3 linked regions of the Lonchura striata genome follow. The protein of the gene in region 1 purifies or fractionates together with the protein of each later gene. This does not show direct contact. Links are inferred from orthologs where the notes say so. Each region holds a gene or a part of one and is shown in the gene's direction. Other genes may lie near its edges.

Region 1 (7,115 bases):
AAGAAAAGTGACAGTGAGAGTCTCCTTCTCACCAAGCAATGGAGAACTGACACTGTGAAGGAACTTAAAACCAACTCCACTGGGGGGGAAAAAATGCAGCTGGAGATTTATCTTGCCAGACAAACATCACTCACCTGTTAAGACAAGCATTCGTGGGAAACCCTGCCTCCTTAATTACAGTGTGGCATAACTTGTGTGCTACACCTGAGCTCTGCAGCTGCAGCCTACCCTGCCACATGGCAGATTCTGAGCTGATTTAATTACAGACTTTTGCAAGAAATCATTCAGACCTACTCCAGGTCAGCTGATGGCTTTTGAAGGCTCTTTTCACTAACAGTTTTTACAGGGACTGCAAATGTCCCTGTAAAATATCCCTGAAAATGTGCCTGTGATCAAAACACTTTTCATTTCAACCAAAACATGTTTTCTACTGCCCAAAGTATGAACAATTTTCAGCTCACAGAACTGACCCACCTAAACAATATGGCAGTTTGTCAGAAACCCGGTAGGCCTGCAATATTCTCTTTTACAAAATACTAACAGCTCATACTCATCTTCAGTGTCATTCTCAAACTTTTTAAGAGGGAGGGAATTAATATCTGGGTTACAGATCAAGTACCCAAGACCCTGTTACAATTGGAATCTGAGGAACAGGATTTGGTGCTTTCTACATCTGTGGGATAACAGAACGCTGTCAAACCACTGAAATTTCTTGTTCTTCTTCATCGTGTACTTTTTACATCAAATTTTAAATGAAAACACAAAGGCTCTTTGGATAACTGATAACTACTGCTCCAAAACCAATTTTTGAACAACTTACCTGTCCTGTGGCTCATGCTGTGCGGACTGTATGCGAAAACCCCAGGTGAATAAAATTTGAAAACCCCACAAAATTTTAAGAAATAAGTTTTCTAGTGCCCGAGCCCACACTCAGCTACTCCTTAGCATTTTTTGAATGCAAAACTGGTTAACCTAAACATACACAATCTTAACCAGCCTGTCCAGAATCTGGCAGACAGGTAGCTGAAACACGTGCAGTGCTTTGGGAAAGGCTACCAGGGGCTGTAGGGCATTTCCTCATGTGAACACTCAGTGTTCTCTTACTCTTGCCTGATCAAAAAGTCCCTCTCCCAGCTCTGAACCAACTGATCTGCTTTCAGACCATTACCTCGCCAGTAAATAATTTCAGGTCTCAAGTGCAAAGTCACTTCTGCTCGTATGCCAAACATTATGGTTACACACTTTTTGATGAGATGTTAGATGTATGTATTTCAGAATTATTAATTTAATCCCACAATCTGTAAGGATCCACACTGGATAAATGGGTGAAAATCAAAAATGCTTGCTTACGAAAGGGAATGACTACTTTTGAACGTGTGGCTGGAATTTCTGATCACAAACACACCTGCAAATGCTCTGCTTGGATTATCATGCTACTGGGTCCTTCTGGCAGACCAACGCTCATATTTTCCTGAGCCCATTCAATCTGAAACAGAGTAACAGCACAATTCTCAATTGTTCCAGTAACTGCTGATGCAGTGGCATCTCTGCTGCATTTACTGGCTCACTGTGCAACTTTTTATGATCCAGATCTACACCAAAATCCTGGTTCAGACAGATTCTCCTCATGCAACTCAAACGGGAGGCAGCACCCATGTTCACTCTTCCCCTGTACTGAGTGAGGACAGGTTTGATAGATCCACCTTGCTTCTTTTGAGCCTAGTGAATGCTAAGGCTGCTCTAGGACCCCTCAAGTCAGCCAGATGCCTACTGGCATTCCCTGGATGCCAGGGAATGGATCACCTCTCTTCAGCAAAAGCTCATTTTTGTTCTGTGTCTTCCAACTTCCTTCCCAGGATCACAACAAACCCCCAGCCTGTGCCCCAGGACCTTGTACTTTAGCAGAAAGCCACATTTATGTGCTGCCTATTCCCAAAACCAACACAAATGTCCAATGAAGGTTTGCTCTATGACAATATTTTGGCACAAAGGCCCCCATATATTATGCCTGGTAAACTTTTATTCAGTTTAAACTGTCTCACCTGGGCAATATGGCCTGGTGTGACACCAAGCACTCAGCATCCAGAGGGAGGCAACACCTCAGGTGATGCTGCTGGAGCAGCCAAAGCATTTGCCCCAGCTCAGGAAGAGATCCACCACCAGCAATTTTCTTTCTTGTGCACTTTTGAATTGTTTTTTTTATGTTAACTTCTCATGACGGCTTCACAGACAACTCCAGCTCAAAGTCTAAGTGAACACTCACCCATATTCTAAAAATTCTTTCTGAGTGACCTGTGTGGGACTCAGCCTTGTGGGCCTGCAAAAGGAAAAAATGGGTGCCCACGTTTAGCTGTGTGAAATTTAGAGAACGGTTTAAATATATCAGCTTTTTGTTTGCAGTCCAAAGAGCAGATGGTGGTTTAAATATTTTTCAAAGGTTTGTATGGGATGGAGCACAGACCCACAGGAATGTCTCTCACCCTTAAGATAGCACTGTGCAGTGATGTAATTATTAGATATAATTAGTTAGATGTAATTAAATAGATGTAATTATTTTCACTGGTTTTCTTATTTTTTTATTACTTTTAAATTTTTTCTGGAGACAGGAACAAGGTAAGGTGTTGTCAGCTCTACGTTTTAAAGCCAACCTTTAAACCATTTCATCAGATAATTCTGCTCTGATAGTTTTTTTTTCCTCAGTCTGGGGAACAATTCCATAATTTACCTCTGTTAATGAATTTTGGGAAGTTGCACGTGTACTACTGTACCTTGAGAGAAATAAATACTTTCTGTAAACTGCAAGAGTTCCCGACTAAACCCTTCAAGAGAGCTTTGCTTTCTTCAACAAAACATCCAAGTTTTCAAAAAACTTGGAAAAGCACACACGTGCAGCATGTTAAACACCATGGAACAATGAATGGTGCGAGCATGGGGTGATTTAAAATCCACCCGATGTCTCCCGCGCGTTGTTCCGCGCGGCTGGAGCCAGCGGTGCCCCGCACAGCTGGAGGAGCGGCTCACGGCGCACTGCCACAGGGCGAATTCACTGTTTTAGGGATAAAGAGCGGCTCTCCCAACAACACAGGCGGTCCGGTTCGTGCCGCAGAAAACACTTGCATCCCGCTGGAACACACAGAAGGGAAAATAAAGCACGGGACAGAGCCGTGCGAGCCCGGCTCGCACACGGCTTCTTCACCGCCACTGCCCGGTTTCCTGCGAGCGCGCGGCGCGACCGTCCCCGTGCCGGCCGCGGGGTCGCTGGGGGTGACGGGGGCGATAATGGCGATAAAGGCGATAAAGGCGATAAAGGCGATAAAGGCGATAATGGCGATAAAGGCGATAAAGGCGGTCAGGGCCGCACGGGCGATAAGCGCGAGCGGCACCCGCGCCCGCGCCGTGACGTCACACCCACCTCCCCCTCCCCGCGCCATGACGTCACCGCGCCTGCGCGAGCCCCCTCCCCTCGCGCCTCCCCGGACCCCTCGAGCGGGCGGTTGGGGGCGTGGCTCGCCGCCCCCCCACCCCGCGCCCCGCGCGCGTGCGCGCGCGCGCCCCCCGGCGGCGCCCGCCCCCGTGACGGGGCTTGCGTGACGGCGGCGCCGGGAGCACGCGCGCGCGCGCGCGCCCGCCCGCCCTTCGGTGCCGCGAGCGCCTATCGCGAGCGCCTGTCGCGACCGCCGCCTCGCCGCCGCCTCCTCCTCGCGCCCGGGAGCGGAACCAGCGCCCGCGCCGGGGCTCCTCCCGCCCTTCCCCCTCCCACTATTATCCTCCCTCCCGGCGCTCCCGCCCGCCCGCCCGGGAACGCGCGCCCCGCTCCCGCCCGGCGAGGGAGTGACCCGGCGCTGCCGCCCGCCCCGATCCCCTCCATGGCTCCCGCGCCGCCCCGCTGAGCCGGAGCCGCCCGCGGGAGCCGCGGCTGAGCGCGGGAGGGAGGGGGCGGGAGGGGGGTGGGAGGCGGGGGCGCGGGGGGTGCGACACGCGCGGGGAGCGGCGGCGGCCGCGGCAGGAGGCGGAGGAGGAGCGGCAGGAGCGGGGAGTCCCGGCGCGGCCGCGGGAGCCCCGGGCGGGCGGGCGGCGCTGGGAGCGGCCGGGATTTACCGTGGTGGCGGTGGGCGCTGAGCGGCGGGGGAGCCGGGCGTCCCCGGGGCCGCCGCCTCTCGGGCTGAGCCCCCCCGCCCGGACCATGGCCGACGACGACGTGCTGTTCGAGGACGTGTACGAGCTCTGCGAGGTGATCGGCAAGTGAGTGCGGCGGGGAGCGGGCAGGGCAGGGCAGGGCTGGGCGGGGGAGCGCTGCCCCGCGCCCCCCGCCCGCACCGGGCACCGGGATGCTCCGCCCGGGACCCACCTGAGTCGCCGCCGGCGGGTCCGTGCGGGGTCCGGGTCCCCCACCCCGTGGCCGGTGCCCACCGTCCTCGTCACACGGGAGGCGGAAGGGGGAGAAGTGACCCCATGTTTCCTCAGCCACCATGATTAACCACCTCGCCATCGCTCAGCCTGGCTGCAGCAAGCGGCAACCACTTCCCACCCCTTTTCTTCTCCTCCCCCCCGATATCCCATTCCTGGCACACCCATCAAGGATTGCCTCTTGGGGAAGGGAAGGGGAAGATAGCTCTCCGTAGATCCACCTATTCACTGGGTGTCTTCATATTTGTGCGCCAGGTGTTGGGTTTTCCTCTTCTTTGCTGCATAATAACCAGCTTGGTAGTGGCGCTCGGGTAGTGCTCGGTTCTCGTCCAGATCCATCACTCTGGTTTTTGTGGAAATGGAGATGTACAAGGCAGGAGGAGTGCTTGGCCTTTTGAGTCTTATTATGCAACTGCTGTTAAACCGATGCTCGAGGCTTGTACGAAACCTGGGAGTTGAGGCTCTGGCTGGCGTTACCCAGCTGCTGTTTCGGGTTACCACTGTTGGATGAAAATGACAATTCGAGTCACCAAGAAAATGCAGAGACTCCCCCAAATCAGATGGCGATAAAGAATTAAAGCTGAACTCCATTCTCCCCTGCCCCCGTATTTCTGTCACTGCTCAGTTTTGAAATGCATTCTTTATTTCTTCATCATCTTTCATTTATTTTCTCTAGTTGTGTCTGTGTTGCAAAACGGACAGCAAATATACAGTAATACTGTGACTACCTAATTTTCTGTGTGTCTGATTCCAAAGCTGAGATTGCTCTGCAAACCTTAATAGTGATACTGTTCAGTGTGCTTGGAGTTTTTTCTTCGTGACAATGGATTTTATGAGAATAATTGACCGTGTTTTGGTTATAAACAAAGAATGTTTCCTGCATGTATTCTCTTGCCCGCTCTCCACCCTGATGCTTTTCAGTGTACATGGAGTGCTGTCTGCTTCCAAAGCCAGGGCTAAAAATATTTTAGAATTAATCTTTTCTCGGGATTATGCTGAAATGTTGGTCTTGGACATAGCAGGTGGCTTTGTTGTCAGCAGAAGTTTCAGCACTCGGTTCTGTTGTTTCACAAGACACTACCACCTTGCTCCTAACACAACTTTTAAAAATATTAAGCTCCAAGGGCCTTGTTTGCCATCATAAATGGAATATGATTGCTTTGACTTGATGCTGTTGAGGAGCAAAACTCTTGTAATTGAAGTGTTTTGAATACAATTTTTGGCACACTCCTTTCACAAGTGGTTTTATGCTAACCACTGCAGTTCACACTCGGTTTTGTTCCTGCCCGATTGCCATCAGGAGGAAGGTGCAGTGCTTATGCATGACCGCAAACCCTTTCAGAGGATGGATGATCGATTCGCAGGGGGCCAGATGTTTGCACATCTCCACCGACTTTTTGTTCCGCGGCTGGAGAATTTCGAAGGGAGAGCTGAAAACCGGTGGATTAGGTGTTAGCTGCAGAAGTTCCACACGAGATTTGGGTAGTGTAGAGGGTGTTGTGATGTAACTAGATCTAACAGATAAATATTGAATCACAGCAGCACGATGATGCCAAGAACACTGTAGCAAAAACAGGGTGTATCACTGAAAATAGCAACAGTGGTGGTGTGAAGGGCTGATAGCTGGTAGTGATTACTCAGGTTTTTCTGAACAGATGTCAAGTCTGTCCTCTAAAAAAACCCAAATATTTAAAATATAAACACACAACTGTCATGTACAATTTATGAGTGGTATTGCTATTTCTTTGCAATGCTATACAGGTAAATTCCAAGGGACCAGAGGTGCAGCATCTTTATTTAGCTTATAGATTCTGGGTACCACCTTGCTTGTCCATAAGAAACTTCAGGAAAGCTGCTGTAAATCTGCTATGAATGGCTACATATGCATCTGACCAAACATCTTTCAGTGAAATATACACTAAATGTCTGCATGTCCCTGGGATTTGTTATTGATTGGTACAGTGATTTACTTCTTGCAGCTAGCACATCTGGCTCTGATTTGCATTTTGGACACATGAAATACTAAAATGTGTAATTTATCTTTCCTGAATAGATAGTTACCACTGTCACTTAAGGTAGTAAAAGGTATTTTCATAAAGGGTGTGGGAAAGAGGTCATTGCCTGTAAAACGTCTTGAGTGTTTAGTCAAAGTTGCCATACAATTTGCTAGAGAAATCAGGAGATACTTTCCTGGCTGACAGTAGACAGTCCAATTTGTTGAGGCATATTCTGATCTTTAGGATAAGCTTTAAACACTTCTAAATACAATAAACTGATAAGACTGACTTTGAGTAAATGCAGCAATAATAGCTTTTGGTGAGGAACAATTACAGGGTAGTAGTATATGAATGAAGTGATGGGAATGGCAATGATAAACTGTTTATTATGTGACATTTAGTGTGTTTAAGTTCTGCAAGCATGCATTTTTCATTTTTAAGGGGTGTGGGTGGAAAGAAAGGCCAGGAAGGATAGAGAGAAATTCTAGTTCATGTTTTCATTAGAAAAAAATGTTAGGGGAAATCTTATTTTGCATGTATTTCCAGTATACCTTTCCATTGCTGAAAGCTATATGAAGATACAAATTGGAATAACAATCTCAATTTCTCATTGAACTTTTTAAAGTGGCATTTATGGCACTAACATTAGTCATGTATTTTTACTTAACCAAACGTGTTATGTTTGAGGTTACTCTCTTCAACTGGCACAAA
Region 2 (7,000 bases), on another chromosome or scaffold:
TCGCTGGCCGTGTCAGAGGTGGGTGACACCCCCAGCTCCCCCCTGGCTGGCAGGGAGCGGAGGTGCCGCACTCGAGGCCTCCTGGCAGTGCCCTCCTGTTGTTCCCAGCTGCTCCCACAGCCCCGTCCCGTTTCCCTCCACAGAAAGAGGACAGCATAGTCGTGGGCACCTCCAGCGGGGCCACCTACCAGCTGCAGCTGCTGCCAGTGAGGCTGGGCGGGCTGGAGAAGCAGTGGGTGCGCACGAAGGTGTTCCAGTTCCACAGCCACGACGTGCGGGCCGTGGCACACAGCCCCACCGCCCTCATCTCCGGGGGTAGGACTGCTGCTGGCTCCGGCACTGGGCGGGATCTCCCCTCCCAGGGTGTGGCTGAGCTGTGCTTGGCTTGCAGGCCTGGATGCCCAGCTGGTGATCCGCCCGCTGATGGAGAAGGTGCAGAAGAAGAGCTACGACGCGGTGCTCCGAAAATTCATCTTCCCCCACGTGAGTGATGCGTGGACTGGGGTCGTGGGGCTGGAAGGGCTGGATCTCCCTGCCCCTCCAGGTGCCTTCATTGCCCTGCCAGGGTTCCTTCCCTGAGCCTGGCTCCCTCCTCTGCCCTGTTTGTCTCCTTTCCTGGTACATCTGGAGGCTCTGCCAAGGAGCAGTGGAAGTTGCCAAGCTGGTCCTGCTGGTCCTGCTGGGTCTCCATCTCCATCCCATGGGACCTGATTTCCCTGCTCACCCCCGTGGGGAGTCACCAGCACTCCAGGGCATTCCGGCTGTGCCCCAGCCCGTTGTGCCAGGCTGTGGGTCCATGACACCCTGCCCATTTTTCCACGCAGCGACGCCTCGTCTCCTGCGCCAGGAAAGCCCGGCTGCTCCTCTTCCAGTTCTCCCAGTACCTGGAGCTCTGGAGACTTGGCTCCACTGAGGAGACTGGTGAGTCACAGGCACAGCTCTCTGGTGTCAGCTCCCTGGCAGAGCCCAGGCTGCCAGCAGGATTTGGGGGTTGAGCTGTCCTGGGCCTCAGGGAAGGGTCTGGGCACTCCCCCAGGATCCCCAGCTGCTCAGAGAGCCCCGTGTGGTTTTCCCACTCACCGGTGTCCGTGTGCTTTCTTTCCCAGGAAAGGACGGTGAGGTCCTTCCCTTGTGCCAGATGCCCGAGCACCTCTTGCAGCTCAAGAGCAAGGTAGGGCTGAGGGGGCTGGGGTGCCCCTGGGGCAGGTGAGGGGCGTGTGCTGGGCTCTGGGGGTTCCTCGGGCCCCCCCTCAGTCCCGTGGCATTCCCAGGGCCCGGAGCACATCTACTGCAGCAGCATCTCACCCTGTGGCACCTGGCTGGGCTACTCCACGGCCTCCCGCTTGCAGCTGTACCGCGTGCACTGCGACGGGGACGGCGTCAGCCTCAGCAAGGTCAGAGGGGCGGGGGGCCGTGGGGCCTGGGGGCTGGCACAGCCAGCGTCACTCGTGGGGACCATGGGTGGCAGCGGGGCGGCTGCCAGGGCTGCGTTCTCCCCTCTGCCAGGTCCCCAAAGCGCCCAAGCTGCTGCCTCCAGCCTACCAGCTCCAGTTCTCCGCCGCCTCCGACAGCCTCTTCGTGGCCTCCGCTCGAGGAGCTGTGCACGTCTTCCAGCTGCAGGAGCCGGGGGGCTGCAAGCACCTGCACACACTGCGGCCGCCCTCAGGTGTGGGCTGGGGGTTCCTGGGGTGGGGCTGGGGGTTCCTGGGCTCCGCATTCCCCTCCCCTGTGGGTGCAGAGCGGGGGTGTCCCCCTTTCCTGCCCTGAGGGGTGTGCGAGTCCCTCCCGGGGGTGTCTGTGCCCTCGTGGCCGGGCACTGGACAGGCAGGGGGGACGTGGGGCTGGGTGTCTGTGGGTCTGAGGCTCCCAGCACCCCTCTGAGCCCGAGGCTGTCTGCAGGCTGCTCCGAGGCCGTTTACCTGCTGGCGCCGAGCGCGGACGGGCACTGGCTGGCAGCCGTCAGCGGCGACTGGGCCATCCACGTCTACAACCTGAAATGCTTCAAGGTGGGCCTGGGAGGGACCCCTGGAGACATCACTGCACCCCTGGAGCAGGGCTGGGGTGGGTGTGTGGGGCAGGGGGTCAGGGGTAGTTCTGGAGGTTCTGCTCGGGGTGGGTGTGTGGGAAAGGGGGTCAGAGGCAGTCCTGGAGGCTCTGCTCGGGGTGGGTGTGTGGGGAGGGGGGTCAGAGGCAGTCCTGGAGGCTCTGCTCGGGGTGGGTGTGTGGGGAGGGGGGTCAGAGGCAGTCCTGGAGGCTCTGCTCGGGATGGGTGTGTGGGAGCGCTGTCAGCAGTGGCTGTGGCGGGTCCCACCAGCACACTGTCCCCTCCTACAGCATCACTGCGTGGTGCCCAGCTACGACTGCGCCGTATCGGCCCTCGCCATCCACCCCATCACCAACAACCTCGTCATCGCCTACTCGGACCAGCAGGTAGGAGCTCTGCTAGTGGAGCTCTCGTGGCTCTGCTCCCTTCCCCGTGTCCCTGCCCTTCCAGCGTGGCTCGGGGGCCTGGCTGGAGCCGCTGGGGCGCCCCTGACGTGTCCGTGCCCCGCAGCTGTCCGAGTTCAGCATCCCCGAGAAGCAGTACACGGGCTGGAGCCGCGCCGTGCAGAGCCGGGGGCTGCACCGCGTCTGGCTGGAGCGGGACTCGCCCATCACGCACATCACCTTCAACCCCAAGAACGCCGCGCACATCCTGCTGCACGACACCTTCCTGCTCTGCGTGCTCGACAAGTCCCTGGTGAGCCGGGGGGAGGGCCGGGGCTGCCCGGGCGCTCCGGGGGCGGCCTGACCCGTGCTCTGCCCGCTCCCGCAGCCCCTGCCCGACGACGGCGCCATCCTGATGAACCAGAGCACCCTGAAACAGCTCCCCGAGACCGCCCGGAAGCGGCAGCTCCACGCCTTCAAGATCTGCAAGAAGTTCCAGGTGGGTGGTGGTGTTGGGGAGCAGGGTCAGGAGGTGCTCGGGCTCTGGAGAGGGACTTTGAACAAGGGGACAAGGGGGAATGGCTTCCCAGTGCCAGAGGGCAGGGTTAGATGGGATAGTGGGATGGAATTGTTCCCTGGGAGGGTGGGCAGGCCCTGGCACAGGTGCCCAGAGCAGCTGTGGCTGCCCCTGGATCTGTCCAAGGCCAGGCTGGACAGGGCTTGGAGCAACCTGGGCTAGTGGAAGGTGTCCCTGCCATGGCAGGGGGTGGAACGAGATCCTTTAAGGTCCCTTCTACCCCAAACCATTCCCTATTTCCGTGATTCCCATCTCTGGCCTTGCAGCCACTGCTCTTCATGGATCTGCTGGACAAGAACTGCCTGGTTGTGGTGGAACGACCCATCATGGACTTCAAAACCCAGCTGCCTCAGCCTGTCCAACAGAAGAAATTTGGCACCTGAGAGCAGAAGAAGCCACTCCAACCTTGGGAACCGTCTCTGTGCTGCTTTCCTGGGGCACTGTAAGAATTTTCTTAAGGTGCTGTAGGAATAAAACCTCACTGTTGTGTACATGCCCAGGCTCAGGGCTCATCCTTGTGCGTGACTCCCTGTTGTTACACCACCATCATGTCAACATGATCTTCATATCCTTCCAGTTCTCCTCCCCGGGGCACAGGGATAAGGTGACACCCCAAATTCCATCCCTTTTCCCTCAGTGTCTAATCCCGGTGTTGGATTCTCCCTCCGCATCAGTCGTGTGGGTCCGTGGGTGCTGCCTGGGGCCGGGCAGCCTCATTCCCTAAGGACGGGGGCTGTGGGTGTTGCGTGGGCCAGGGAAGCGTCATTCCCCAGGACGGAGGGCGAGAAATCGGGGACCACGGAGAGCACGGGAGATTCACAGCGGGGCTCGCCAAATAAATCGCAGCGCGCCAAATAAATCCCAGCGCCAGACATGGCGGGCGGGGCGTGGCTTCCTTTGCCCCGCCTCTCAGAGCGACCAATCGCATCAGCGGTGGCTTAGCCGCCTCCTCTCTGATTGGTGGAATCGGGGCGGGGGCGGGGCGGCCCCACCCCAGTCTCCCGCGCCCCCGAGCCTACCGTGGCGCGCCATGCGGGCGGGGGCGGGGCCGCAAGCCACGCCCCCTCCGCCAGGCCACGCCCCTTCCCCGGTGACCGGCGGCGGCGGCGGCGGCATGGCCGTGTGGACCCGGGCTTGTAAAACGGGGCTGCTGGAGCTGCTCCTGCGGGACCGCTGGGTCCGCGTGTCGGCCGAACTGACCGGCGAAACGCTGAGCTTAACGGCGGAACCGGGAACCGGCGATCCGTCGGTGGTGAACGGCGTGGTGAACGGCAACGCGGAGGCGGCGGCACCCGGTGGCGTGAGGAGGGTGCGGGTGGTGAAAGCGGAGGCGGGAGGGCTCGGGATCAGCATTAAGGGAGGTCGAGAGAATCGGATGCCGGTGCTGATCTCACGGATCTTCCCGGGGTTGGCGGCGGAAAGGAGCGGAGCGCTCCGGTTAGGCGACGCCATCCTCGCCGTTAACGGCGTCGATCTCCGCGATGCCACCCACGATCAAGCTGTGCAGGCGCTGAAGAGAGCCGGGAGGGAGGTCATCCTTGAAGGTAACGCCTCAGCCCCTTCCTGTCCCCCGAATCCCCGGTACGGGCCCCTGGTGCTCTCCTGTCCCCCGCCCCGGTGCTCCCCCGCCGTTACCGGCTCCCACCACCGCCCCTGCCGCTGTCACCGGGCTCCCGGACCCGCTCTGGGTCGCTTTTCCGGGTGTGGGACGCCACTGCCCCACCCCAGTCCTGGCGTGTTTGTGTGTCCCCCCAAATCCCCGGAGCCTCGGGGGGCCCGCAGGACGGGGGGCAGGGGACAGGGGCTGGGGCGTCCCTCGGGTCGGGCTGCTCCGTCTGTGGCGGGATGGCAGCCGGGCACAAGGACAGGATATCCCCGCCGACTGCTCCTCCAGGACAGGCTGGGCTCCCTCGGAGACACATCTGGGATCCCCCAGGGCAGCCTTGGTGTCCCCTGGCTGTGGCGTCCCCCTGAGCAGGTTGTCCCCCATCCTTGGCACCCCCAGGCTGGCTGGCTGGCCCCAGGCGGGGCTGTGACGCCGGGTGCTGGTCCAGGGTCTGCCCACGTCCCTGCGGGCTCGGTGTCCCCGCGGGCCCCGTGCCCGCGGCACAGCTGGCACGGGACTGGCCCACGGAGCCACCGGCTCCTGCCCGACCTGTTCCCGGCAGCCCGACAAGCTCGGGCAGGACCTGCCCAGCCCGGCGGCGCGGCACGGTGTGCCACGGGGCACCGCGAGGCCACGAGCCCCCTGTGCCATCAGGGAGGGCTATCAGACAGTGCTGTGGTGCCACACGCACTGTCCTGGTGTCCTGGCACGTCTGTCTGTCCTCCGCTGCACGAGGCTGCTCCGGGGACACGGTGCCCGCTGGGCACAGGGCACAGGGACGGGTGCTGCCGCTTTGCCACGAGCTCCTGGCACACTGCAGTGGCACGAGGGGACACGGCTGGGCTCCCCGGAGTGGGCACACCTGGCACGAGGCGCTGGGGCACGGCTGGGGTGCCGCAGGGGTTGAGGTGGAGCAGCGGTGTCAGGCTTGGTGCTGTGGTGGGGGCTGCTCTTGGGTTCAGCCCGTGCTTCCTTCCTCCCGCTGCCCGTCCTTCCTCCCGCTGCCCGTCCTTCCTCCCGCTGCCCAGCCGTTTGATCCTGTCCTGCAGCAGCTCCAGCTCTGTGCTGTGTTTGTCCCTTGCTTCCGCCACGGGCACCACGGCAGACGCCTCTTCTTTCCCTTTCCTTTTCCCTTTCCCTTTCCCTTTCCCTTTCCCTTTCCCTTTCCCTTTCCCTTTCCCTTTCCCTTTCCCTTTCCCTTTCCCTTTCCCTTTCCCTTTCCCTTTCCCTTTCCCTTTCCCTTTCCCTTTCCTTCTCCCTGTGCTGGGACAGGAGCTGATGGGGGACACTGCCCATCCAGTGCCATCCAGCCCCATCCCTCCTCACAGCCCTGGAGCTGTGACCGCCCTGGCAGGTGCCAGAGCTTCTCCTGGGCTCAGTGCCAGTGGTGGAGGGGAAACCATCATCTCCGTGGGGCTGGTGTCACCCATCCTGGGGCTGGGTTTGGCCTCGGGGCCCACGCCAGGCACCACCCACGGGCCCATCTGCTGCCCTGGGGGAAGGGAGCCCTTCCGGAGCTGTGGGTGCGGTGCGGACCATGGGCACTGCCCGGGCACAGGCCTGGGGAAGCCGGGTCGGTGCTCCCGGCCGGGTGTGGGGGCTCGGCCCGGTGAGGCCGGTGTGCCGGCAGCAGTGCCGTGCAGCCGGAGCAGGCAGTGCCGTGCAGCCCCTTCCTGCAGCGGGGCAGCGAGGGGCGCAGCGACAGCCGGGCTTCCTCTGCGGTGAGCGCGTGGGTGGCAGTGGCTCTGCCGGGTGACGGTGGCTCCGTCGGGGCAGCAGCGGCCTCGTGGTGCGGCTGCGTGCTGGTCACGGCTCGCCAGAAGCAGAAGGGGTGGTCGCACCCCCGTGCTAGCCGCGTGTCTGCTGGCACAAGGCGCTCCGTGTCCTGCCTGCACCGTGGATGCTGCCCACTGAAAACTGGGAGCCGGTTCTGCTGTCCCCACCGTGGGCAGACACAGTCCTGGGCATCACCCACCATTCCCGGTCACCGCGGGGCACCCGCACCCCTGGCTCCCGAGCTGCTGGCTGCCCAGCTTGGCCTCTCACCTTCCTGGCTCCGTCGGGGTCAGTGCCTGAGCTGGAGCCCCACGCGCTGAGCTCCCTCCCAGTGCTGGAGGCAGCTGCCCACATCTGGCAAACATCTGCCGAGCGGCCCCGCAGCGGGAGCTGCCCGCGGCGCTCCCTGCCCGGCCCGGCAGCGGGATTAGGGGTGTGGGGCCGGCGGTAATCCCGGGATCAGCGCGGCGGCAGCAGCTAATATTAACTCCTGTGCTGCCCGCAGCAAGGGCAAGCACCTCGTGGCTCAGCAGAGCCGCTGGGAAGCGGGGGGCTGGTGTCTCCTGCCCGCTCCCCGTCCCTGCCGCCCCATCCTCGCTCCCCCTTCCCGCTCG
Region 3 (7,303 bases), on another chromosome or scaffold:
GAAATATGCACACACAAAATATGAAATACATTGAAATATATTGAAATCTCAAATACTTCCAGTTGGAAAATTCCCAGGCAGCTCTATAAATGATGGAGCTGCCAGGTGCCCTCCTCTCACAGAGGAGACAATCTCTGCACCCACCTCTGGGGCAGCAAAGGAAGAGACGTGACCAGGAACTAGTGCTGGTAAACTGGCTGGGAAACAAGGAATATCAGTCTAGATATTAGCAAAGGCAAAGTTCATTTCCCAGTCATAGAGAAGAATTTGTAACCTCCATGACAAGAGTAGCAGAGGCAGCAGCACCTCAGTCCTCAGTGTGTTTCTTGGGTACACATTCTCTCTTACGCTTTTTCTTTTCATCCCAGTTGAGCAGCAAAGCAGCATCTTGTTTCAACTTTGATGCTCCATGGGTATTACCAGGTCCTTTATTCCTGCAGTACAATGAGATGTGATTTTCCCCTAAAGCTTTTAATGAATGCTGCAAAGCTTTCTATTATTGCTGAAAAAAAATCAATTAAGAGGAAAATAGGAATAATGAAATGTGTTCTGCCATCTTGGATTGATTTACAGTTAAAATTTGGCTGAGCAGTGTTCAGGGTAAAGTCTCTCACAGCCTATGTGCAGTTGTAGAGAAAAGAAGGAGGGGCAGGAGGTCAGAAGGCTGGACCCTCCTGAGTTCTGGCAGTGCTGTGGGATTGCCTGTGTTGCTGCAGTAACCGTGTCCTCCTCGGGAAAATCCTGCTCCTGGCATTGGGAAGGGGCTGCACTCCCTGTTTGTGTCCCTGGAGAAGCAGTGAAAGCAGTGACAGAGGTGTCCCAGTGCCCGGCTGCCACACCGACACCTCCTCTCAGCTCATGGTGCCCCTTCACCCTGGGCTTGGCAAGGGCTTGTGTGGCACAGAGGGAGCCTCACCCCCTGCGTGCCAGTTCTGGGACAGAGAGCTGCTGTGAGCAGAGCACGGCTGGCCCTTCTTCAGCTGCCTGTCAGCAGCCCCAGGAAACAGAGAGTCTCAGAGAGTGCCATTTATACTGCAGCTCCCAGCTGGCAGCTCCCACAGATGGCACATGCAGCCGATTCCTCTGGGGGTTCACAGCAGCTGGGCACTGCTGGGTGCTGGTCCTGCAGCCACTCCAGGCCCCCCTCTCTGGGCACAGAGGGGACAGTGTGCTGGGAATGGCCCTGGGGAGGCCAGAGGCAGCAGGGACTGGGCTCCAGCGCCCAGCCAGGCTCACCTGCACAGCTCTGAAGCTGCAGGGCATGGCCAGGACCATCCTACGGGCCAGCAGCAGCGAGCACTGCTTGAGACATGAAGCACTGGGGCCATAAACAGAGCCAGGCCTCACTGCTGGCTTTGCTCTTTGCACAGAGAGGCAAAGTGGTTTAGATGGGGATGTAGGGAGCAGAAGAATAATCCTCCATTTTCCTTGGTAGGTTTTCAGGCAATAAAAATGTTCCCCGCTGAACATATCTGTGCACACCTGCCTCATGCTGGTTATGATAAATGTGGGCTTCTGGATATCCCAGAGTGTGTGCTGCGGGCAGGGATGGAACTGCTGCTGGTTTGTGCAACTCCTGACACCAGCCTGGAGGTCTTGCGCCTGGGAGATGGGAGGCTCACTTCAAACTGTCCCTGTCCTGACACCAGACTTGAGGTCTTGGGGCAGGGAAATGGGAGGCTCACTTCAAAGTGTCCCTGGAAGTGCTCAAGGTCCGTATGGGTGACCCGGAGTGCTGTGGAGATGGAGGAAAGCTGCCCTGCAGGTTCTGCCCCCGTGCCCAGGGTGCTGCGGGCTCTGTGCCGGGCAGGACTCGCTGGGCACTGCCCTGAGCAGCTCACACTGGGCACTGCTACACAACAGCCTCGGGATTATTTTAATAACCATGCTTACATTTCTTTCTTCTCTTAGATTACAGAGTTGGTTTTACTTTCCTGATGATGGCAATTTTATTGTAAGGTTTTATTTCTCTTTTACTGTGCATGAAATGGAACACTGAGGTGGCTGCTCAGGAATCAAAATTAATCCTGTAATTGTAGCACAGTGAATAAGTATGTGCAAGAGAATAATCTTGTAAAAGCTGATTACCTCGGTCATTAATAATTAGGATTTATGAGTTAAGTAATATGCTGCAACTATATCCAATAGCTTGGCAATTTCATGTGGAAAGTTAAAAGAGATAATTTTAGAAATAATCCTTTGGGAAATCCCAAGCGACAACTAAACCAGCATCTTAGGTTCTGCCTGTGGCTTTTCCCTTCGGCTCTGGCTGTTTGAAACTGGAGTGGCAATTTGCAGTCTTGTCTTATTTGTGGACATACGCATTTGTTCATTTTAATTTCTTTGTGCATTGCTTAATGTGATTCTTAGCAAGATTTTTTGTTTTACTGTGTTCTCTGGCAGAAGAATTAATAGTACATCTGAAGTTTAAGTGCATGTACACAGAGTTGTCTGGTCCTTACAGGATCCCCGGCAGGACACGATCCCCGGCGGGACAGGAGCCCTGTTCAGACAGGATCCCCGGCGGGACAGGATCCCCACTGGAAGGATCCCCGGCGGGACAGGAGCCCTGTTCAGACAGGATCCCCGCTGGGACAGGATCCCCGGCGGGACAGGAGCCCTGTTCAGACAGGATCCCCGGCGGGACAGGAGCCCCGCTGGGACAGGATCCCCGGCGGGACAGGATCCCCAGCGGGACAGGATCCCTGTTAGGACGGGATCCCCGGTGGGACAGGAGCCCTGTTCAGACAGGATCCCCGGTGGGACAGGAGCCCTGTTCAGACAGGATCCCCGGTGGGACAGGATCCCCGACGGGACAGGATCCCCGGCACACCCCGCCGGGCGCTGGCGCCGCAGCGAACGGCGGGGCCGGGCAGCTGGTCCTGCCCGCGGCTCTCCTCACCCGCCCGCGGTAACGCGGCCCGGCTCCTGCCGCAGCTCACCGCGCGGCCCCGGGCGCCGCTACCTGCGCGGGCAGGGGCCCGGGGCAGCCCGGCCGGGCGGGGCAGGGGCCGTGCCCCGGCGGAGGCGCCGCTCCGCCCGCCCCCAGCCGGGCCGCAGGTGGGGCGGGCGCGGCACCGGCGGCGGGCGCGGCTCCGCCCGGCCCGGCCCCGCTGGCCCCGCGCCCGGCGGGGCTGTGGCGGCGCTCGGGCCGCGCTCCGCGCCCGCCTCCCTCGCGGGCGGCGCCGGGCGGGCGGCGATGGACGGGCGGCCCCCGGCGGGCCCCGCCGCGCCGCGCTGCGGGCGGCCGGCGACCCCCCGCCCGCAGTCCCTCGCCTGGAGCAAGCCGCGGCCGCGGTCGTACCAGAGCCCCAGCGGACTGCTCGTCACCGACTTCCCCGTGGAGGACAGGTGCGCCCTCTCCGCGACTCGGCCCGCCGGCACCCGCGCCCCCTCGCCCGGCAGCCCCGCCATGGGATCGGTGTCCAACGGGACCGTGCGGCCGCCGCGCTCGCCCGCGCTGTCCCCGGGGCGTTCCCGGCTGCTCGCCCTGGCTCCGGACAGCCCCGTCGGTTCGACCGCCAACGGCACCATCTCCCCGCCGGGCAGCGGGCCGGGCCGCCGGCCGCGGCCGCCCCGGACCGCGGGGCTGGCCCCGCAGCAGCAGCGGATCGTGTTCGGAGCCAGCGCCCAGCCCGCACCGTGTCCCCGGGCTGCCGGGGCTCCGGAGGAGCCGGGAGGGTTCCCCAGGAGCGGCCGGGGTGCGGAGGAGCCGGGAGGGTTCCCCAGGAGCGGCCGGGCTGCGGAGGAGCCGGGACCATCCCCCAGGAACGGCCGGGGTGCCGAGCCCCCGGAGGGACCGGGACCATCCCCCAGGAGCGGCCGGGCTGCCGAGCTCCCGGAGGGACCGGGACCATCCCCCAGGAGCGGCCGGGCTGCCGAGCTCCCGGAGGGACCGGGACCATCCCCCAGGAACGGCCGGGGTGCCGGGGTCCCGGAGGGACCGGGACCATCTCCCAGGAGCGGCCGGGGTGCCGGGGTCCCGGAGGAGCCGCGGCCGTGCCCCGGGCGCGTCCCGGCGGGGCCGGGCGCGGAGCCCCCCGCGCTGCCCGGCTCCCGGAGCCCCGCGGCGCGCAGGGCGGGCTCGCAGCAGCTGATCCCCCGCAGCCTGGCCGAGAGCCGGCCCGCGGGCCCCGAGCGCGGCCCCAGGGTGCGCAGCCTGCTGGAGACCCCCCGGCCGGCCCCGGGCAGCGACCCCGAGGACGAGCCCGAGGGCGGCCCGGGCGCGCTGCGGCGCGGGCTGCGCTCCACGTCCTACCGCCGGGCCGTGGTCAGCGGCGTGGACCTGGACGGCTCCGCAGACTGCAAGAAGAAAAACAGAATGTCCCAGCCCATCCTGAAAGCGGTGGTTGAAGATAAGGAGAAGTTCTCCAGCCTGGGGAGGATAAAGGTGAGTGCGCTGATAGGTGAAGGGGCTGGCTCCGTGGGAGCGTGGCCTGCTGATCCTGCCTTTGCCATAAACGCTGGGAACTTTCAGTTTGGTTTTGTCCCAATGCAAAACTTTTCATAGTAACTGTGAGCTTTGAAAGTGCTGTTTTCCAAGTGAGGTGTTGGAGATGGCGGGCTCTGTTGAAATCCAGGCGGCTCAGAGCCTTTGCTGGCTGCCTCCTGCTCGCTGTTCCTGCTGGGTTCTCCAGCTTTCACAACCGAACCAGGGGCTTAAAACCTGTGTCCCAGAAAGCAGTAAACAGGAAAAACATAAGGGACATTGTCTTGATAAAGTCTGCGTGCTAGAATAGAGACAGAAAAATGAACTTCCTCTCTCACTTCTCTGAGACAGTATTTTTAAAAATCACTGAGTACTTTTTAAATTGATAGAAATTACTTCAGGTATTTAAATGCCTGAAAGCAATTTTAATTTTTAATGCTTGAAAGTAAAAGCAGCATGCCTATTTATAAATCTTGGTTGTAATCCCTTAGAATCCTATAGTAGAGTTACATTGAATGTTAATGTATTCAATTATAGAGATATACTGATAGTGTTCTTTTACTTATCATACTGTAGTATTGGATTTCCTTATTTTAGATATAACTTGTTACTGTATGAAATGTGTTTGTAGATTTATGTGTAATAAAGTACATCAGGCCAAGAGTTGATGCTGTAGCTTTTAAAATAATTATCAGCTTTATGGCAGTTTTCAGCCAGTTTATGGTAGTGGGTACTTCTGTGAAAACACTGCAAGGGTGAAATAGAAATTGATGAAATTGTGAACAGCTGCAGAGTGTGGTTTGGTTTGGTAGTAGACTTAAAGCAGTGTGTTGTGTTTAAGGTAGGAGGACATGAAACTGTGCTGTCCTTACGGAGTTCTCTGCAAGTAGTGTTTTATTAAATAGACTCTTGGGCCCTGGGACGTGTCGCACCAGAACAGCTGTTTGATCTCAGAGGTCTGTTGTGCTCTCAGAAGGCTCCTTGGCAAAGTGCTCGCAGTGGTTTTGTTTGCAGAGTGGAAGGGCAGCCTCCCAGAGCTGCGCCTCCACAGACAGCCCTGGCACAGAGGGATGAGCTGTAGGTTCCCTGAACCCCTCTCAAGCCAGTGTAATGTGTTTTTGAAACACGTGGAAATACATCTAAACAAGGTATGAGAGAAATTAAACTAGGGTAGCTTTTCACTTTCTCTGATGACACAGTTGTTTTTAATGAACTCGTGTCCAACATACGAAGTTTACAGATTAGGGCCTGTTGGTTTGGTGCCCAAGTCTTGAGTAAAACAGACATTCTTGTTACTGTGATTATTTTGCATTCTCCTCCTTCTAACATAGCTCTCTTTTCTGTTAAAATTATCTGCAGAAGATGCTGAAAGGACAAGGGACGTTCGATGGAGAAGGTGAGCCCTGTTCTGTCCAGAGCTGTTAATAACTCCCAAGGGAAATGAACTTCAGGATCGTTTGGCACACTTCCTTTGTATGGACTCTCAGACTCAGTACCTTGTTTTTCAGTAATGCATCTGAGATGTGGGGCTATAATTTTGGCACTAGGCCTATTTTAGGGCTATTTTAAAGACTATGCAGTGGCAGGCTAAAAAGTGTGTCAAGGGCTTCTTTTCCACTTCAGCTGCTGTCCCTCCCAGCACGTGGGCTGTTGGCTGTGTTTGCCTCAGCCCTGACAGTTCCAAGGAGGTTTGCCTGCCTTCCTGCCTGTGTCTGGGGCTCTGCCCAGTGCAGGACATTTGCCCTCAGGGGTTTGTGCCATCCCTGCAGCACACACCAAATGGTTACCCTAGGCTGGGGTTCACAGAGCTGTTTCTGCCTTCTCATCAGCTCAGGGTGCTGGGCTGAACCCTTGGGCTCTGCAAGCATTTTCTTTTCTTGCTACCTAGGCTTCAAATATAAGTGTCAGAAAAACACTGTCTGTGGAGTTGTATTTTTTGTATGTGGAGTTTGTATTTTTGTGTTACTCGTTAATTCTGGGTTTTGCCAAGTTTGCTGCTTTTCCTGATACTTCAACAAGAAAACAGAACTTCTGTAGACCCATCATAGATGTTATAATAACTGCTACTCTTGGCTTTTCTCTGCTTAATGCCTGTTTGAGGTCATCTCAGCTGCTGTTATCTTCCTCTGTGTTTTCAGAGCTTCCCACTGTGTTCTCTTTGCATCATCCCTTGCCCTACTCTATTTTTATCTCTTCTCACACTATCTCCTCATGATGTTTTCTGGATTCCCTTCCAATGGTCCTGTCTGTCTTGGATGATCCCAGCTAATAACCTTCTCTGGAATGCCTCCCACAGTTCAGTTGCTGTGACAGTTTGCTCTGTTAAAAGTGTGGAACTCGACAGCCCTTCCCCAGGAGCTGCCCCAAAGGCACCCCAGGTCTGGGCAGGTGGGACAGACCCACCCAGCCAGGCGAGCTGGGGCCCTGCCTGGAGCAGCCAAACCTCCACCTCAGTTCCCCTTTCTCTTGTAGGGCAAGATTGGATCTTATCCAAAGCCTGGCCCATCTAAAAGTGCCCTTCAGAGCCTGCCTGCTTAGTGGCTTCGTTGCTCTGTGGGTTTTGTGGTGCTGAATTTCTGCCCTTGCTCGCTGCTGGTGCCAGGGCTGTGTGGCCAGGGAGGTGGGGAGAGCAGGAGTGCTCCACGCCCGTGTTCCTTTGCCACTGACAGTGCCAGCAGTGTGTTTGGTCTTGGTTCACGGGGCTCGTGCTTCCTCAGGCTTTGAACTTTCTCTGTGCAATAGTTCTGATCTCAGGTCTCTGGAACTGGAAACAGTGGCATGTGAAGACAGCGTTCAGAGTTGACAGGAGAAGGGTTGCTGTGGGCAGCATGCTTTTCCTGGACATGAAAATAGTGAGACCTGCAGATCAGTGAC

What was found. Proteins that work in one complex are often made in the same cells at the same time.
Region 2: the proteins of CASK (region 1) and SNTB2 purify together in Homo sapiens (affinity purification with mass spectrometry; 3 studies listed by BioGRID and IntAct, with this or other methods). This does not show direct contact. The link is inferred for Lonchura striata from reciprocal best matches to the Homo sapiens genes CASK and SNTB2.
Region 3: the proteins of CASK (region 1) and ARHGEF26 purify together in Homo sapiens (affinity purification with mass spectrometry; 3 studies listed by BioGRID and IntAct, with this or other methods). This does not show direct contact. The link is inferred for Lonchura striata from reciprocal best matches to the Homo sapiens genes CASK and ARHGEF26.

What each region holds. Positions count from the first base shown.
Region 1 is NC_134604.1:110,082,123-110,089,237, reverse strand, and holds the start of CASK (peripheral plasma membrane protein CASK), read left to right. Parts: upstream 1-4,083; 5' UTR 4,084-4,183; coding exon 4,184-4,242; intron 4,243-4,348; coding exon of another isoform or gene 4,349-4,489; exon of another isoform or gene 4,490-4,506; intron 4,507-7,115. Other genes in the region: uncharacterized protein LOC110474871, read right to left, coding at 4,349-4,489. UniProt on the Homo sapiens protein: Multidomain scaffolding Mg(2+)-independent protein kinase that catalyzes the phosphotransfer from ATP to proteins such as NRXN1, and plays a role in synaptic transmembrane protein anchoring and ion channel trafficking.
Region 2 is NC_134615.1:23,002,627-23,009,626, forward strand, and holds the start of SNTB2 (beta-2-syntrophin), read left to right. Parts: upstream 1-3,921; 5' UTR 3,922-4,034; coding exon 4,035-4,548; intron 4,549-7,000. Other genes in the region: UTP4 (U3 small nucleolar RNA-associated protein 4 homolog), read left to right, coding at 1-18, 144-315, 392-483, 825-921, 1,107-1,171, 1,272-1,394, 1,507-1,666, 1,900-2,006 and 4 more. UniProt on the Homo sapiens protein: Adapter protein that binds to and probably organizes the subcellular localization of a variety of membrane proteins. May link various receptors to the actin cytoskeleton and the dystrophin glycoprotein complex.
Region 3 is NC_134612.1:26,471,292-26,478,594, reverse strand, and holds the start of ARHGEF26 (rho guanine nucleotide exchange factor 26), read left to right. Parts: upstream 1-4,224; 5' UTR 4,225-4,321; coding exon 4,322-4,390; intron 4,391-5,788; coding exon 5,789-5,825; intron 5,826-7,303. UniProt on the Homo sapiens protein: Activates RhoG GTPase by promoting the exchange of GDP by GTP. Required for the formation of membrane ruffles during macropinocytosis. Required for the formation of cup-like structures during trans-endothelial migration of leukocytes.